Canis lupus familiaris: one gene and its partners. The main gene of each other region encodes a partner of the protein of the gene in region 3 in a complex. Links are inferred from orthologs where the notes say so. Each region holds a gene or a part of one and is shown on either strand. Other genes may lie near its edges. The genes, in order: DCP1A, PAK1, MAP3K5 and ARHGEF6.

Region 1 (4,288 bases), on a different chromosome or scaffold from region 3:
TTGTGACGGTGAACTTCTGGCTTCTGAATTTTAAGTAAATCCTTTGAATATGTAAATTTGGGAGTTGAAACAGGTTGACCCTTTTCAAGTCTCCATGACTTGGGCACTTCAAAGTTTATTTTCCCACTAAGGAAAACTTATAGATTCTCTATCATGTTCATTCCTTGGATTAAAGGGTGAAAATTAACAGATTTGATTACAGACCCTCTTTAGGATATTCTCTCTTAACTCTCTTGTAATATTACACATACTCAAGTCATTTCAAGTCATACGTCTATTACAACAAGAATCCCTTGATTCTTCCATGTACCAAAGCCCATGGAAACCTCACTGGGGGTGTGATGAAACCTGTTTTCTGAGAACAGTCACATGGTTCCCCCCGACACCATCTCCTGGTGTCAGCAACACTCTGGATCTTACTTCAACATTTTCCTTCCTGGGTGATGTACAAGCAATTCATTTTTGGTTGCTGGATTCACACACTACCTTTGACAACGAACTCTTCCCCATTGAGTAAGAGAAATTACAAGCTTCCCTGACTTCTGTACAATTCACAAATAACTACGTAGACAGCAAGAAAAGACACTAAATTTGACAAGCAGAAAAGCTGCCCAGGAAGCATATTTAGAGTAACAAATGCCAATCAAACAAAGTATTCTTTATGCTAAAAAAACTAAGACCAAACTAAAACAAGTATGTAATTCACAAGTAATTTTCTAAAATCTCAGCTAGGAAAAAAAAAAAAATCTATCGATTTATGATTGAGTTACCATTAAAGCTTAAATGACTGTTCGCAAGGAACCACCACATCCATCAGCATTATTCACAGCTCACCCTTATGCTAGCTGGTTGAGCCAACTGGGTTTTTACCCCATCATTAAATAGTGCTCAGAAAAGTAAGCAGTGCATCTTAATTGGTTAAATACTACAAAATGATCTGCATCATAGAAACGAAGACACTTTCATTCAAAGAGTATCTTAAAATTACTATTGCTGAAATAAATCAAAGTCTACATTAAAATATTACTAATCACCATTACATGCCATAAAAGAATAAATATAAATCATGGCAGGTCAATAGCAGCATAACAAAGCATCTTTACATATTTTCACACTTTGGGCTGCAAAAGTACTCACAGCCTAGGAATACATTGGTAAAGTTCTGAATTTCACACTTTGTTTTTAACTCCATATTCTATAATAAAATAAGGGCAGTATGAATAACAGCTCCCTTTTCTGCATAGCTTTAAAACTACTCTCAGTAGACTCGAGGAATGGAACCAGAATGGCTTTGCTAGATTGGTCCACTGGTCCTTTTTGCCAAGTGTTAAGGAAAACAATCAACAATGACTTCTGTGTTTAGACAGAAAAGGAAAATAAGGCTACACTTCACACAAAACTTAACATTTTCGAAACCACTCAATAGTTTAACGTAAAGTGAAGGTTTCTGATCAAATTCAGTCTTTACCAGTCCCAGCCTTTGCTTCAAAGGTGTGACATGCTACTCCCATACCATCACAGAGCCGGAGGAGGCCCTAGTCACGTGGTATCACTGCCCTGGGAGCCCGCAGCATGGCAGCTCTGGGGACACTTAAAAAAACAAAACAAAACACAATTGAGAAATTTCAGAACTTTTAAGGCCCAAATGGGGCATTCATAAAAATATACTTCACTTGAACAAATCATTCCTAATTTGCCAACTTAAACTCTGATCCTTAAAACTCAAAGCTACTTTGCATAGAGCTGACTACTGCTCTGTTCAGAACTTGACTATCAGCCTAAGGCTCAAATTTCTAGGGGGGAGAAGCAGGGGAAGGGGTGCGGGCTGAACTCTGCTACAAGGCTGGTGACCCCTCCCCTCCCTATGACCTTGAGAGTGAAAGCAAGCTGAAAACCAGGCTCCTGATTTCACATCCCTTCTTACAGCTGATGAAAACACCCACACAACTTAATGTTTTTTTTTTTTTGTTTTTGTTTTGTTTTGTTTTTGTCAAAACAAAGGTCTGCTGGTGATGCTTCACAGTGAAACCTCCATTATCACTGAGAACGTCACTTGGAAAACATTCTTAAGGAATGAGTCTCTTTCTCATAGGCTCAATTTCAGGATTCTCAAAACTCAATGTTCTGTTTAGAAGTTCCCATGATGAGGCCTATTCGTTTCTGAGGTCGACATTCTGCCTTCGGATTTATTCTGCTCCAGTCATAAGTTGTGGTTGTCTTTGTTCTTGGTCAGAACCTGCAAGTAGACTTCGTGAAGTGTACTGAGGAAGCTGGAATCATTCTGGAAGAGATGGTAATGTTTCATTTACCTCAGAAGAACTTACTGTATAAATGATTTATAAAACTAACTACCCAAAGAATCCCATCACCCAGAGACAGCTGCAATCAATATTTTGGAATTCATTCAGATACTTTTCCATTGGGAGTATATGCTCAGAAAGAGAGAAACATCAGTCCCGCTAGTCTTCAATTCACCTTATGAACTGGTTTTCTAAAAAGAATTTATGTTTTTTAAAATTAAAGAACAGAAGTTTACAGATTCAACTGCTGGGATGGTCTGCATACCTTTATTAGATGTATTAATGTATCCTGGAGCTGGGACTTGCTGAGAATAATGGAAGGCTTTCTCTGATTTTCTGATGTTCCAACAGTCAGTGGAGAAGGGGCGCTTGCTTTTCTCTCGAGGTCTGTGGACCTTGTGACTGTCTGTTGGAAAACACTCGGGGACAGCAGGACTGAAGACACTGCCATGGTTGTTGCAGTAACCAGTGTGGGGCCTGTGACCTGCAGGGCAACAATGGTCATGAATGAAGCTTGTCGGCTAAAGGATGAAGGGTCTGTTTCTTGGGAAGCCAAGTCTGATCATCACACAAAAGAAGTATGATCACACAGGGTATGCACAGTAAGAACAATCCTATGATAAGAGGTGTCTGCATGGCTTAGTTGGTTAAGCGTCTGCCTTTGGCTCAGGTCATGATCCTTGAGGCCTTCGTTGGGCTCCCTGCTCAGTGGGGAGTCTCCTTCTCCCTCTGTCCCATCCCTGCTCATGCACACAAGCATGTTCTCTCTCAAATAAAAAATTAAATCTTAAAAAAAAAATCCTATGATAAATTAAAAATGCAAAGTTTTTTTTTTAAAGATTTTATTTATTTATTCATGAGAGACACAGAGAGAGAGAGAGAGAGAGAGGCAGAGACACAGGCAGAGGGAGCAGATCCCATGCAGGAAGCCTGATGTGGGACTCGATCCCGGGTCTCCAGGATTACGCCCTGGGCCGAAGGCAGGCGCCAAACCGCTGAGCCACCGAGGGATCCCCAAAACTGCAAAGTTTTATATGGGGAGCAGGGAAATGATTGGAAGAGGGCATGAGGGACTTTCTGGGGTGATAGAAATCTTACATATATTGATTGAATGGTTACCCCAAGGGATATTATGTTTGTTAAAACTCATAAAACAGAATCTGCATTTTATATGTATTTCACTGCAGTAAAATTTTACTTCAGATAAAAAAAGAAAAAGAAAAAGAAAAGGAGTGCCTGGATGTGTCAGTTGAATGTCTATTCTTGGTTTTGGCTCAGGTTGTAATCAGTTGAATGTCTATTCTTGGTTTTGGTTCAGGTTGTAATATTAGGGTTGTGAGATGGAGCCCTGAGTTGGGCTCCACACTTAGTGCAGAGTCTGCTTGAGATCCTCTCCCTCTCTTTCTGCCCCTCCCCACTCTGCTCTCTCTCAAATATATAAATAAGATCTTGAAAAAAAAAATCCAGTTGCATGAAGCATTAGTTTCTTTTGTAGTGTCCAATATACTTATCATTCTGCTACGGGTATCAGGATACAGCTTCTTACAAATAAAACATCTACCTCCTTCCTCCATTTAGAGGTGCTTCTATGCTAATAGCAGCTAACCATCAGAATATACTAAACCAGAAATAGTCAGCATTTTTAATAATTCCTCCATCAGGGACACCTGGGTGGCTCGGCGGTTTAGTGCCTGCCTTCAGCTCAGGGTGTGATCCTGGAGTCCCGGGATCAAGTCCAGCATCGGGCTCCCTGCATGGAGCCTGCTTCTCCCTCTGCCTATGTCTCTGCCTCTCTCTCATAAATAAATAGATGAAATCTTAAAAAAAAAAAAAAAAAAAAAAAAAATCATCCATCCATTTGATGTAATCAACAGACATCTCTTTTTCTTTCTCCTGTCACCCTTCTTCATTTACAAACAGCCACAGGGCTACGGGTGTGGTTTTTGGGGTCTGCACCTTCCATTTGTCTCTGGTGCTGCTGCTGCCCA
Region 2 (4,976 bases), on a different chromosome or scaffold from region 3:
CAAAATAATTTCTCCTTGAGGTGTTAACTATTTTATACCAGTTCAGACTCACAAAAGCATGTCTAATAGGAAAAGCACTGAACCAGGAAAAAATAAGACCCACTCCTGTGGGTCTTCAAGGATTAAATTAAACAACAGATGTGAATAACAGATTTAAGCTGTAGAATGCTGTACAAATATATGATTATATAACGCAATACTTTTATTTTCAGAAGTGCTTGGATGTGTAAGAAAGAAAATTGAAACAGAAAATTTCAAAGACTTTATTAAAAACAATGCTTTCATTCAATTAACACTGATAGCTTTCTACAAGTCAGGTGCTTTTTCTTTCTGTTTCTTTTTAATTTTAGCTATTTGGGTAGATTTGTAAAAATCTCATTATTTTGCTTTTTTTCTTTTACAGAGGTATAACTTAACTAAAGTAATCTGCACAACCCTTCAGTGTACAACTTGATGATTTTTCAATATGTACACACCCATGTGTTCACCACTAAGATCATCCCCAAAGGTTTTTCATGCCCCTTCCCAATTCACATGCCCTTCTCAGACACAACCATTAACTATTAACTATTAACATAAATTAGTTTTGCCTGTTTTTGAACTTCATATAAACAAAATCATACAGTTTCTGTTCTTTTAGATCTGGCTTCTTTTGCTCAAAATAATGGCCAATTTTAAGACTTCTCATAGTATAATTTTTTGTCTCTTTCCATAGACATGAGATCTTTAAGACAGAGTTTGTGTCAGATCCATAGCTGTATTCATAGTGCCTAGCACATAAACAGGAACTCAGTTAAGATCTGGTGAGTTCAGTACACTGAGGGCAGCATGCAAGATACAGAGAAGAAATCAGAGAGCAGGAGACATGAATCCTGGCATGCACCTAGAATGACAGGTCCCATTACATTAGCAGAAGGGGTCTGCAGTTCTGAGTCTTCCATTTCACATTAGTGCTGGTAGGTCTCAGTGCCAGGTAAAAAGGGTTAATCTGAAAAAGCAGAGCTGTAATTTGGGAAGCAGGTTTTGTGCTAAGAAGATAAATGCTTTTTGCACTCTCACTGAAGGGTTATTTTTAGCAACATGGTCAGCTAATGGCACGTCTCTCATACTAAGCATAATTTTGCCAAACCTGAAGTCAGCCTAACATAACACCTCCAGATGGGTGAGAGATGAGGTAGAGAAAGAACGAAGTTTATGAGAGGCAAAACAAAAGCAAAATCATATACACCAGCATACCCAATTTTTAAGTAATTTCCCTAGGGAAAGAAAATGCCCCTACTAACCCTTGTCCAATCTTCTCAAACCGTGTATATTTCTTCTTAGGATCGCCCACACTCACTATGCTCCCTTTGAAAGAAACAGAGACCATGAATCATTTTTTTTTCCCAGATCAAGATACAAAACAGGCCCAATATTCCCCCAAACCCTGCAGCTGACAAGGATTAAAGAACTACCTCCAATTCCCAAAGCCACGCTAAGCAGGTCCTTAGCTTTTAGTTTTAAGTTGCAACCAAAAGTTTCATCTCCTTACTGCTTTTATTGACTGTATTTTTAAATTCATTCATTCAATAAACACTCACTTAATATGCTCACATATCATGTACCAAGCCCAATGTTGAATACTAAGAATAAAGGGATAGATGAGACATAGTTAAAACAGTCCCTGCTCTCAAGAAGCTCAATCTCAGGGAGGAGACAGAAAATTAAGCTTAAAGTTCCATGAAAATACAATTGTTGTAATACAGAAAGAGCCTTTCCCGACTAGAGAGGCTTCAGAAAGGAAGTGATTCTGGACGATTTTTATAGGGTAAGTAGGAGTTAGCCAAGGAAAGTTGAGAAGGGGTTACAGTAGGCAGTAATTCAAGTGCAAAGGCATAGAGGTGTGAGAGAGGTTAGGTTTCACAACTTGTACTCTAGAGATGGTGAAACTGAGGCCCACAGAAGGGAACATAATCCCCCCCACCCCAAAGGTCACACAGCAAACTGGTGTCAGGGCCTTATAAGATTAGGAGCTTGGTTTTTGGTCTCCCAGTCCAGTGTGTCCTCCCTAACACTAATTACTAAGATTTGATACTTTTCACATATACTATCTCATATGATTATAAATAAGAAAGGTATTAACATCCCTCTTTAAAAGATGAAAAAAAGGAAGCCCAGAGAACAGTAGGAAATTGCCCAAGACCCATGTCAGTGGCTGGACTGGGGCTTTAACCCAAGTGCCCTTACCTCTCATGCCAGTCTGCTTTTCACAATTTTATGTTCTAAGTATGACTGCTTTAAAATAAATCTGGTTCAGATAAAAACACTATATATAGGAATAAACAGATGGCTAGGTAAGTGGCTTTTCTTGCTTCATCATTTCGTAAGGGCTCTGGGCAAGGGCAACTTGTAAAAGAGTGAAATTAAAAAAAAAAGTCGGGCAGCCCCAGTGGCTTAGCGGTTTAGCGCCACCTTCAGCCTGGGGTGTGATCCTGGAGACTCGGGATCGAGTCCCACATTGGGCTCTGGGCATGGAGCCTGCTTCTTCCTCTGCCTGTGTCTCTGCCTTTCTCTCTCTCTCTCTCTCTCATGAATAAATAAATAAAATCTTTAAAAAAAAATAAAAGTCAAACAAGAATTATCAGGAAGACATTGAGAGCTGCTAAGCTAAAGAATCAGAAACCTAGGCTTTAGAGAGGAGCGCTAGTTTGTGGATTTGGCCAAATTAGTCACATCAAATCCTCTTTAGAAGTAAACAGGTACAAAGGATAAATTAAAGGCTGCATCAGATGATTTTTCTAAGCCCAAAGGTCAATCTAGTCCTTCCTTCTAGTATGAATTCTCTTGCAATTTACTGAAACACAGAAACAACCTACTCTAATATACATACCCCATTTCTGGCCACTAAAGAAAATAAAATGGAAGTTTCCACTTGAAAGCAAGAGGCAGCATGCTCTAATTACAACAGCATAACTTGGTCTCTGACCCCAGCCCTGTCACTGTCTTGGGTAGGGTATTTAGCATCCCTGAGCCTCAAATACATTAAACTGCAAAAAATGAGGATTATAATGTCTGTCTTCACAGGGTTAATATGAGGAATAAAGGAACCAAAAAAAAAAAAAAATCAAGAAAACACCTTGCTTGTCATTTGGTACCTAGATAGGCTCACAAAATGTTAGTTTTCCTTCCCTCTTTTCCTACAACCAAGATGGCAGAGCAGTCTTCTCCTAAGTCAATGGCAAGCATCAATAATCACAGCAATCTTTCCTACCAGGTATGGGTAAGGCCTCAGTCTTTCTCAACACAACATTCCACACTATTCCATTAGATAAAAGCTACTTTTCATCTCCATAACCGATGCCTACGGTTGAGAGATGCCTAGCTCGAAGTGAGCTGTCCACACTCCCCTCACATTTCTATCCTAACACAATATCCAATCAGGGTTGCTGAGACAGAGGAGGTAGGTGCAGGGGCAAGGTGAGAAGCCTACCTTATGTGGCTAAGATATCGAGCATAGCCAGCCAGCCACATAGACCAAGTCTAGGACTAGGATCCTTTTAGCAATGTTTTTCCATCTTTGTGCTCATTCAGTCACACACAAAACGCAAGTTCAGACAGCTACAAAGTGCTTACGTAATTTCTCCAAGATCTCCTCATCAGACATTTTGGGCTTCTTCTTCTGCTTCTCAGTATTCCGAGTCAGAGCATCTGGTGGAGTAGTATTATTCTCAGTAGGTGAAATAGGAGATGTAGCCGCATCCCGAGTTGGAGTAACAGGAAGTGGTTCAATCACAGACCGTGTATATACCTGTATTGTTGGTAAAAGAATTTGGTAAAGACAGTCTTTGTTAGCACAGAAAACACTCAGGAGCCTCTTATAGAGGTGTATTAGAACACCCACAGCAGAGCAAATCCCAATAAACTCATCTCTCCTCCTAGGTCAAAATCTATGTTCCTCCCCTCTGTGCCCAGGCCTATCCCATGTGGGTGAAATGGCCTTCCTTGTTCTCACTATACACAACACAAATTAGGAATTAACAATGTCTTTTTAGAAAGGAGTGCTATGAAGATCAAATTTATTAATTCATTTGTTCATTATTTACTGCCTTTCTGACACCTGCCCAGAACTATGTTAAGCATTATTAATACATATATATTTCCTCTGTTTTTGAGAAGTTCCTAGTTTAGTGAGAATTTTTTTTTTTTTAAACATTTTTATTTATTTATGATAGTCACAGAGAGAGAGAGAGGCAGACACACAGGCAGAGGGAGAAGCAGGCTCCACGCACCAAGAGCCTGACGTGGGATTCGATCCCGGGTCTCCAGGATCGCGCCCTGGGCCAAAGGCAGGCGCCAAACCGCTGCGCCACCCAGGGATCCCCGAATTTTTTTTTTTAAATGAACATGCTTGCAAACTGAAAAAAAGGCCATATCAATGTGAACTACCTTGACAAATCTCCAATTTTGAATCTTATTTTCATTAGGGTGACTTTGTGACCTATAGAAAGGGTGATTCCACAGATCCTGTTTGTAAGGTCTAATCCTAAAAGGTCATCTAAACCCCCTGGATTTTCCTCACACACTCTCCTATAGTCAGGCAACCAACTTCTGCTTGAATACCTTTCAGCCAGCCTTTTTTTTTTTTTTTTTGTATTATCACAGAGTTTAAGCCCTAGATCATTCTTTCATTATAAAGCTCTTGTCATAAACAAAGTCCAAACAAAGAAACACTAAAAGAGTATCATCTGATGACAGGTCAGTGCTCAGTGATGCTAAATCAAATAAAAAGCATGGGGACCAGATTGTGCAAAGTGAGGGCAGAGGGACTGTGGCTATGCTGAGATGCAAGAACCTCAAAAGAAGTTAAATAAAAATCGCTGCCAATATTCAACAACAAAATGCACTCCTGATGTCCAGCATATTAATAGCACTAATGTATTTATAAATTCCTATGGGTCTTTCAGTTTCATCAATGGTGTTCTAAGAGGTAGAATGCT
Region 3 (4,064 bases):
ATATTTACCATCTGGCCCTTCCCAGAAAACTGTTTCCCTGGTGGAGGAGGAGCAAGCGCTCCCTCTGAAATCAGAAGAAAAGTTCTACTACCATCCAAGTTGGCAGCCGTCAGTTGAGAAAAACAAAGGATTTGGACAAAACATACCATCTTCATTTGGTCACATCTTCAGACTCAATGACAGGGCTCAGAGTTCATTACCATGAGCATAAGTAGGGGTTAAACTGGGGCCTGCTCAGGTTGAATGAAGCAATGGATGGGAGAGAGATGGCTCAGAATGGCTCAGAAACGAGTCTTCCCAAAGTGTCCTCCCCATGATTCACGCTGCACCTCAATGGCTCACCAGGTCCCCGCCAGCTCTCTATCACATGATTCCAAGATAGAGTAAATCAGCCCAGCTAAATGGAGGCAGCAGCAAAGATGACCTTTTAGAGTCAGCCACCTGAAATGGAACCCTGCATTGATCAGTTACTACCTGTAAGTCTAGGCCAGTTATAAAGTCCTTGGTTTCCTCATCTGAGAAGAATAAGAAGTACTTCCTTAATGGGCTTGTTTGGGGGATTAAAGATACAGTTCAAATGTCGGTCCCCTTGTAGTCTTCCTTTGTCTCTTTCCCACAAACAGTTATTTGGAGAACAAACAGTAACTGTGCCATGTTAGGAAACTATCTTCCAAATTAGCCTAGAGTTTAAGATTTTTTATTTTTTTAGAGTCCTATAAAAAATACAGAATCTATCAGAGCAATAAAAATAGGCTCAGTATTTGCTTGGGTGTTTTCCTCACATATCTTTCAGTTCTTTGAAGTTTCTTCCAAACTATAATCCAAAAATAAGAGTGCTATAATTTTTAGAAAAGTTACATTTATGCAATTTTTATAGCAAGCCACACAAAAAACTGAGCTATAATATATCATACTCAGGTTCAGTTCTGAAGACCAAGACTGTAAAAAAAATACCAGCACCAGAAAGCCCTGGTTTATTTAGTCTGACTTCTTTAACATGAAGTTCTTCTGGTTCTTAAAAATATTCAGTTTTGGCTGAATTCCAAAGCTGACATAAGCCTACTTCAGGTGTTTTGAAGAGACTGAAGAGAATCAGAACTGAAAGCAAGTTTGGAATATAAAACCTTTTACGTGATCACAAATGCAAGAATCTTATTGTTTGAAACCACTGTTAAATTTTCCGCCCACACTTAGAAAAAATAAATACATGTATGTTCTCATATTTGGTTGTACAGGGTACTAAAGGTTAACTTCAATAGCATGTTAATATTATTCCCAACTTTAGCAAGCAAATAGCTAATTGCATCAATCACTAGAACTGCAATGACAGTTTCTGAAATATGTGATACTTGAAAAGATAACTTTTTTATGGATTACATTGGCACTCTATTTTTTTAATTTTACATTTTATTTATTCTTTTAAGATTTTATTTATTTATTCAGAGACACAGAGACAGGGAGAGGCAGAGACACAGGCAGAGGGAGAAGCAGGTTCCACGCAGAGAGCCTGACGTGGGACTCGATCCAGGGTCTCCAGGATCACGCCCCGGGCTGCAGGCGGCGCTAAACCGCTGCGCCACCGGGGCTGGTGGCACTCCCTTTAAACAAACTAATTTTTAGTTATTAAAATAGTAAATATTTTAAACAATGTTAAATTATGTACTTTCCAGCTCATTGTGGTATATGGGGTAATAATATTCTCCCACCAAAATCCTAACAAAGACACCACGAAAGTTTAGTTCAAGTGACAAGGTTACTGCTTTTGGAAGTAATTCCTTAGAAGTTCAAATCGGTTAAGACTAGAACATCCAAGCTACTAAATATGTTCGAGTGAAAGGACTTGGGAAGATCACGACACGACATGCAAATGCGTATAGATAGACTCTGAGAGCAGCGGGCTGCGTGGTTCCTGTTCTCCCAACACCACACAGAGAAAAAATGAAAGCGTCATCTAAAATAGTCACAGGTGTATATATAGAAGGGAGAAATGGGCCAAACCTAGCAAAAGAGAAACCAAGACCCCAAATGGACAAAGGCTGATGGGGCCACTATCTCGCACTACTTTAGAAGTGAAAAGTTCTTGAGGAGGGGCCTCCGGACCGGCTCCAGCGCGGGCCGGCGGGTGACCCAGTCGGTCTAGCACAAGTACACAGGATCTTGCACCCGCACCCACTCTTCCCCGGGGGCAGCGAGCGCCCGGAGCAGTCACGCAGCGCCGCTCGCTGCCCCTAAGGTGGGGCAAGAAGTGGGTAAGGAGGAAGCACGCCTGCCGCCTAGGAAAACCTTGCCCCGCTGCGGGCGGCCAGGGAGAACGTGGCCCCTGACCGTGGAGGACGCGGAAGGGGCTGCACACGCACCTGCGTTGTAAAAGCGGTCCAGCACCGTGGTTTCCCCGAAGTCCAGTTTGCCAAAATGCAGGGTCTCCAGGGTGGCGCCCACCGTCTCGCACGCCTCCCGCAGGCTCTGCAGGGCCTCGCTCTCGGCCACCACCAGCTGCCCCTGGCTCGCTTCGTTGATCACATAAGCCACCGTGGTCCGTCGGCCGCCTCCGCCACCAGAGCTGCCCCGGCACCGGGTGGCGCTGCTCGCAGAGGTGGCAGCCGGACAGCCGGCGCCCGGGGCGGCGGCACTCTCCACGTTCCAGAAGCTGCCCGGCGGCGGCGGTGGTAGTTGGCTCTCCGGGCCCTCGGCCGGCGCCGCCGCTCCTCCCCTCCGGCAGCTGCCGCCCTCGGCGAAGGGTGGCACGGAGAAAGTGATGCCCTCGCCCGCCTCGGCGCTCATCTCTCCCGGCCGGGCTGCGGCGGCGGCGGCGGCGGCGTCCCCCCCCAGCCCAGCCGCACCGTCTGGCCAGCCACAGCTCCGGGCTGCTCCGCGCGCGCCGGGCTAAGCAGCTGCCATCGCGCGTCGCGCCCTCCGCACCGCGCCGCCGCCTCCTCTCCGGCGCCCTCTCTCCCGGGGGCACGCCGCTACCCGGCGGCGGCTCGCCCCTCCTCGGCGCCTCCGTGGCCGCGCCGCTCGCCCGAGGCAGGGTGTAGAGTACGAGCGGTGGGGACGCCAGGGTGAGCGGGAAGGGACCGCGCTTCCTTCTGCTGCCGGCAGACAAGTCGGCTCGCGAGCCCGCGCCGCCGTGCAGCTCAAGGGCGCCGCGCTCGCCGTGCGGAGCGCCCTGGCCCCCCGGAGCGCGGCTCCCGCTCCTTGCGTGCCGGGCGCTGGGAGGGGCCGGGGAGGGCGCCCGCTGGGTGGGGAGCTACCTGGCCAGCACCTCTCGGGCGAGCAGGCTCCCCGGGCTGCGTCCCGGAACAGCAGCCGCCGCAGCCGAAAGGACCCGCCTCCCTCCTCGGCGGCAGCTCCCCTTCATGGGCTCTAGTTCCTCCTCCTCCCCTGGCCTCGTTTCTCGCCCGAGCGCGCCGCGGCCGCTGCGTCCCAGCGCCAGCCTCGCCGCTGGGTCTCGCCGCTCCCCGCAGCCGCTCGCCCAGGGGGCCACCGGCTTCTGCCGCCCACTCGTCGCGGCCCCGAGAGTCAGGGCCCGCCCCGGGGGAGGGCGCTGCTGGGAAGCTGGAGCCGGGACGAAACCGGCCGCGCCGCGGCTCCCGGACCTCGGCCAGGCCCCGGGCTCGGCGCGGGGCGGGAGTGCTCCGCCGTCACCCACCGGACCCCCACCTAAGAAGACCCGGAGTCGGCCAAAGCCTGGAGCGCGCGCGAAGGCAGCACGGCGCACGAAAAAGAAAAAAAAGAAAAAAAAAGTCTCTCCGGAGAACACTCGGGGCTCCGGAGCTATCGGGAGGCTCTCGCCCCGGTCCCCGCAGCCAGGGCGCCCCCGTCCGGCGCCTGGCGGCCTCGCCCTGCGCGCGGTCTGGTTCGGCGCGCGGCGCTCCAGCGCTGGGCTGCGCCGAGGGGCCTGCGTTGCGCAAGGCCGGAGGATTTCCTCTAGCGCCCCGCCGCGGGGGCCTATATTGGACGGCAACGGGCGATCGATTCCCGACCGTGGCTGGCACAACTTATCAGGTCGGCCTCCGCTACTTTCCATTAAAAAAAAAATTGCACTGGCAATGTTATCGTTAATG
Region 4 (5,584 bases), on a different chromosome or scaffold from region 3:
TATGTCAAATTTAATTAAATTGGTCATCTTAAATAGGTGCATAATAATATGCATCAATTATATTTCAGTAAAAGAAATCAGCAAGGAAAAATTTTTGTTTTAAGACATAAGAGTTTATTCGTTCATTCATGCATTCCTCCAGCATTTTTAATTTTATTTATCTTTAAAGATTTTATTTATTTATTCATGAGAGACACACAGAGAGAGGGGCAGAGACACAGGCAGAGGGAGAAGCAGGCTCCATGCAGGGAGCCCGACGTGGGTCTCGATCCAGGGACTCCAGGATCACGCCCTGGGCCAAAGGCAGGCGTTAAACCGCTGAGCCACCCAGGGATCCCTCCTTCAGCATTTTTTAAAAAAGATTTTATTTATTTGAGAGAGAGCAGGAGCAGGGAGAGGGGAGAGGGAGAAGGGGGAGGGATGGAGGGAGAAAGAGAAGCAGACTCCTGACTGAGCAGGGAGCCTGACCCTAGGCTCTATCTCAGGACCCCAGGATCATGACCTGAGCCAAAGGCAGACAACCAATTGAGCTACTCAGATACCCCTCATTCAGCATTGTAGAATATCTACTATGTACCTGATCCTGCTGGGAACAGTGTTAAACAAAACAAACAAGACGTCTACTCTAGGGAGGTTACATTCTGGTGGAGGAGACATATCAACAAGTAAATAGTAACGTGATAAGTGTTAGGAACATGGCAAGAAGAGGAAGCTTTGAAAACATTTAGCAGGATTATCTAAGCTGATCATTTGGTAGTAGATGTCTAGAGCTGTGTTGAGAAGGATTCGGAAGCTTAGCAGGATCCCCTACTTGAGGAGGGGCAGTGACTGATGGGGAGGAGCATGCATTTGCCAGTTTAAGGCTATGCTGTTCTCATTGGTCTTCTTACAAGTTTCCCAATAGTATGACTATTTCAACTGGTTGTGAAAAGATCTCTTGTTTTAGACCAGGTTTGTTTTTTTTCAGAGCAGCATTTTTAAAAAAGGATTTTATTTATTTATTTGAGAAAGAGAGAGAGACAGCAAGAGAGAGTACAAGTGGGGGGTGGGTGGGGAGAGGGACGGAGAAGCAGACTCCCCACTGAGCAGGGAGCCCGACATGGGGCTCAATCCCAGGACCCTGGGATCATGACCCGAGCTGAAGGCAGATGCTTAACCAACTGAGCCACCCAGGCGCCCCTAGAGCACCATTTTTAACGCAAAGTGTTTCTTGTTGGGGAAGCATCAACTTTCCAGACTATAGTATAGACAGAGGACAAGTGCTCTTTTGTTCTCAAAAGTTCTGTTTTCAAGTGTTTTATACCCTCTCATAGGACTGTGTCAGAGCCTTTGCTAGGGGTACTGCAGCTGGATTGTGTAGTGGAACCAGGTCCAGAAAAAGAATTGCTAAAGAATGCAAGTAAACAGGATGTCAGATGTTATCCTTAGCCTATTTCCCTAAACATAGCTTTTTGGCTGCAAAGTAAAATGCCATTCTTCTAGCTTCTGCTTGTACACAGTGATGGCTGACAGCAGGCACCGTCTTCATTTGCTTGGCACGTTATCACCATGCAATTCAACGTGTTTTACAAGGGATGATCATGACACACCATCTCTGTGAGACAGTATGAGGACATCCGGCCATTTCTTGGAAGAATTTTCTCAGCCTACCTTCTTCATGAGCCTCAGATCTATGTGACCTAAGAGCCAGTTGGCATCTTCCTCCTGACAGCAGCCAGATTTTCACTGGGGCTAGACTATTTATTGACAGTGTTTCCCCAGACTGGCCCATGAGTGTCTCATTGCCAAAGTCCCCTGTGTTTTCCAAGAGCACTTGCTTCATTCTCTCTCCTCCCTCCCCAGCATCCTCCTCACTTCCTTCCCTTACAGCTTCTTGCACTGTTGGGTTTTTTTTTTGGGGGGGGGGGCTGTGTTTATGTGTGTTTCTTCTTCTTTTTTTTTTAACCCTGGTAAGTTAGCTTTGCAGGCTTGGAAAACAAAATCCAGCATTATCCAAAGATTTTTATTCTTTCTATTTCTACATCTTTTAAGTGTGATCTCTGTGGCTTTAAGATCCTGTAATTGGAGTGGGGTCGCGTTATCTAAGAAAGTCGTTGAAACGCTTTGCTCTGCAAGCCCCAGAAGAGAACTTATAAAAACGGAAGGCAGTAGCAGATGCAATTACGGATGTGGCTTAGTCCTTGCAGCTGCCCTGGGGAGCTGTGCAGAGCATACAGTCCTCAGCGATGAATCCAGAAGAGCGAATCGTGACATGGCTTATATCCTTGGGAGTTTTAGATTCCCCCAAAAAGACCATCTGTGATCCAGAGGAGTTCTTGAAGTCCTCGCTGAAAAATGGGGTAGTGCTGTGCAAACTGATCAACAGACTTAGGCCTGGCTCTCTAGAAAAGGTAAGGGAAATGGGCATTCTCTTTAGGATTGCTTACCACCAGAGAGCAGCAATAATGTAACCCTTGAGATGTTCTGTTGCCTGGATCATGGGACTCTGCCACTTGAATCTCTTCCTAGGAGTTTGGCATTCTGTCTTGTTTTTGTAGCTTGAAAAGCTCAGAAAATGAAAGGTTATCCGTTAGCACTTGGCCCCCAAATATAGTAAAATCATGATACAATGTTGGTGCCAGGGGACAAGGAGAAAATACTCGTATCATTTGCTCTGTCATAGAGATATGTGTTATTACTCTCTGTGTACCAAGGGCATATTTTGAACTTGGGGTATATATGAATTGGTGTAATAACGGGATGATTTATAATAGATATTGATGGTGTTTATTGACAGTTTGACTAAAATCAATGTTGATTTGCTTCTCAAAGAAATAAAATATCCTTTGAAACAGAGGCAACCAGAAGAAATAATCCAAAATGTCAGAAAAGGTTTGTTAAAACAATAGAAACCAGATATATGTTTTGTATGCAACATGTGTTCAAAGTGAAACTAACCTTACTCTCTTTTAAAAAGCCAAAAGTTTTAATGTTGGAAATCCATATTCACAAGGATAGATAATTTCTAAAGTAGGCACTTTAAGTTTAAAGGTTGAATCCTACAGCTTTCTTAAGGTTAGCAGGGGACGTGACTATGAGCATAACGTGAGTGCTTTTGCCTTCTTGTACTGGTTGGTATTTTTATTGAGCAAATTGGTTTACTTATAATTTCTCTGAAACTTGAAAAACAGTGCTGAAGTGGTAGTGCAACATGCAGAACTGTAACCAAATGTAACAAACAGTAAATGGGAGGATAGAGTGTTAATAAATTATCATGGGGAGGAGGGAGCAAGAAAATAACTTAAAAGCAAGAACCAAGGTCAAAACACAGCCTGGATCTAATTTGCTGTCTCCGCACTTTGGCTGAAGGCTAAAAAATAGTTTGTCAGTAGAGATAGGTGGTTTGGGACTGGAAGTTTGGTGACATTTGAAACAGACCGACCGTTTAGACTTTTACATCACTTCCTCCAGTGGTTATTTCTCTTCCTGGATTGACAGCAATGTGGCCCCTGCCTTAAAAAGCTTACCTATCTAGTTATCAGAAAATGAGGACTATGGTGTATGCTTGGCATGCGATAACAGGGTTCAAGTGACATTTGGCTATGTTTTTCTAGTACTGTTTGGAGCCCCAAACCGAAGCTGACTGCCTCAACAACATCAGTGACTTCCTGAAAGGATGTGCAGCCCTTCAAGTGGAGGTAAGCCCACCCGGGATGCCTTGCCTTGCTAGTGAAAATGGTGTTGTACTAAAAGTACTGGGTTGTTTCTGACTGTTACACAGGGGTAGCATTTTATGGAGATCATGGTTAAGATTGGTGGTCTCCAGTGGTGGCTGGTTAGTTTGTCTTTTCCAGAAACCAGTTCCAAAACAAAATGAAACAAAACAAAATCAAAACTCAGAATATGCTATTTTTTAATACAGCATCCGTGCCCTGAAAGCAGGCTTCCAGTGACAAAGGCTGTGTAATGTGCCTCCCTCCTGGGAGGAACCAAAAGCAGGCCATTGGCCGCTCTAGGGGGTCATAGTAATCCCCCCCCTCCGAGTTGGGAAGAGATGAAAGTATACTGTCACTTTTTTCCTATTAACACTTTAGAACAGAGGCCATGAAAAGCCAAGAGAGCCTGGCCCTGTGGTAGAAATTGTATATTAACTTACATTGCACTATTTTATATCATATAGATCCTTACAGTATATTTGGGGGTATTGCTGCAAAGGAGGTGATACTTTTGTCTGAGTGTCCAATTATGTAACTTCTTTGTTCCTCAGTGTGTGTGTGTGTGTGTGTGTGTGTGTGTGTGTGTATTACATCTTTATTTGCAGAAGCAAAATCATGGAAACAACATCCATAACTAGCAATGGGAGAATAGTCAAATAAATTATAGTACATTCAAATGATGCTGAAGTCTTATACATTCATTTAAAAAAGATTGTAGGTTTTTAAAATGGAAGTATAGTTATATTGATATTAATATTAGTTGATATTAATATTAACTAATATTATATTAGTTTTAGATGTACAATGTGTGATTCAACATTCTATACATTACACAGTGCCCACCATAGTAAGTGTAGCTACCATTTGTCACCATACAATGTTACTTCAATATTATTCTTTAAAGATTTATTTATTTATTTATTTATTTATTTATTTATTTATTTATTTATAGAATGCGTGGGGGAGGGGCAGGGGAGAGAGAGAATCCTGAAGCAGACTCTCCTCCAAATGTGGAGCCCACTGCGGGGCTTTGTGTGGGTGGGGTTGGACACGAGGCTTGATGCCAGGACTTGGAGATCATGACCTGAGCCAAAATCAAGGGTCGGCCACCTAACCAACTGAGCCACCCAGGCGACCCTACAATATTATTGACTGTATTCCCTCTGTTTTATTTGTCATCCCCATGACTTACTTATTGTAACATTGGAGGTTTGTGCCTATTAGTCGCCTTCATCTATTTCATCCATCCTCTCAGTCCCCTTCTTTCTGGCAACCACCAGTGTGTTCTGTTTCTATGAGTCTGTTTCTATTTCATTTTGTTTTGTTTTTTAGATTCCACACATGAGTGAAATGGTATGGTAATGGCCTTTCTTTGTCTGACTTACTTCACTTAGCATAATACCCCATCCATGTTGTCCCAAATGGCAAGATTTCATTCATTTTTTTTATATGATTGAGTGCATGTATACCATATTTGTGTCTGTTCATCTCTGAATGGATGCTTGGGTGGCTTCCATATCTTAGCTATTGCAAATAATGCTTTAATAACCATACAGATGCATATTTTTTAAGGATTTTATTTATTTATTCATGAGACATACACACATACACACAGAGAGGAGAGAGAGAGAGAGAGAGAGAGAGAGAGAGAGAAGCAGAGACACAGGCAGAGGGAGAAGCAGGCTCCATGCAGGGAGCCTGATGCGGGACTCGATCCCGGGACTCTAGGATCATGCCCCCGGCCGAAGGCAGGCTCTAAACCACTGGGCCACCCATGCGGCCCTACATATTTTTTTAATTCATGTTTTTGTTTTCTTTGGCTATTTGCCTCAGTGTTTTGATCTGTAAAATGGACACAACAATTGCTACCTCATGGGGTTGTTTTAAGG

What was found.
Region 1: MAP3K5 (region 3) and DCP1A share a complex: the UniProt entries of both Homo sapiens proteins name them as parts of the cytoplasmic complex. The link is inferred for Canis lupus familiaris from reciprocal best matches to the Homo sapiens genes MAP3K5 and DCP1A.
Region 2: MAP3K5 (region 3) and PAK1 share a complex: the UniProt entries of both Homo sapiens proteins name them as parts of the cytoplasmic complex. The link is inferred for Canis lupus familiaris from reciprocal best matches to the Homo sapiens genes MAP3K5 and PAK1.
Region 4: MAP3K5 (region 3) and ARHGEF6 share a complex: the UniProt entries of both Homo sapiens proteins name them as parts of the cytoplasmic complex. The link is inferred for Canis lupus familiaris from reciprocal best matches to the Homo sapiens genes MAP3K5 and ARHGEF6.

What each region holds. Positions count from the first base shown.
Region 1 is NC_049241.1:36,946,729-36,951,016, reverse strand, and holds part of DCP1A (mRNA-decapping enzyme 1A), read right to left. Parts: intron 2,785-4,288; coding exon 2,566-2,784; intron 2,282-2,565; coding exon 2,201-2,281; 3' UTR 1-2,200. UniProt on the Homo sapiens protein: Necessary for the degradation of mRNAs, both in normal mRNA turnover and in nonsense-mediated mRNA decay. Removes the 7-methyl guanine cap structure from mRNA molecules, yielding a 5'-phosphorylated mRNA fragment and 7m-GDP.
Region 2 is NC_049242.1:21,494,955-21,499,930, reverse strand, and holds part of PAK1 (serine/threonine-protein kinase PAK 1), read right to left. Parts: intron 3,788-4,976; coding exon 3,613-3,787; intron 1,348-3,612; coding exon 1,284-1,347; intron 1-1,283. UniProt on the Homo sapiens protein: Protein kinase involved in intracellular signaling pathways downstream of integrins and receptor-type kinases that plays an important role in cytoskeleton dynamics, in cell adhesion, migration, proliferation, apoptosis, mitosis, and in vesicle-mediated transport processes.
Region 3 is NC_049222.1:29,533,573-29,537,636, forward strand, and holds the start of MAP3K5 (mitogen-activated protein kinase kinase kinase 5), read right to left. Parts: upstream 2,801-4,064; 5' UTR 2,782-2,800; coding exon 2,358-2,781; intron 1-2,357. UniProt on the Homo sapiens protein: Serine/threonine kinase which acts as an essential component of the MAP kinase signal transduction pathway. Plays an important role in the cascades of cellular responses evoked by changes in the environment.
Region 4 is NC_049260.1:108,083,505-108,089,088, reverse strand, and holds the start of ARHGEF6 (rho guanine nucleotide exchange factor 6), read left to right. Parts: upstream 1-1,943; 5' UTR 1,944-2,225; coding exon 2,226-2,390; intron 2,391-3,593; coding exon 3,594-3,677; intron 3,678-5,584. UniProt on the Homo sapiens protein: Acts as a RAC1 guanine nucleotide exchange factor (GEF).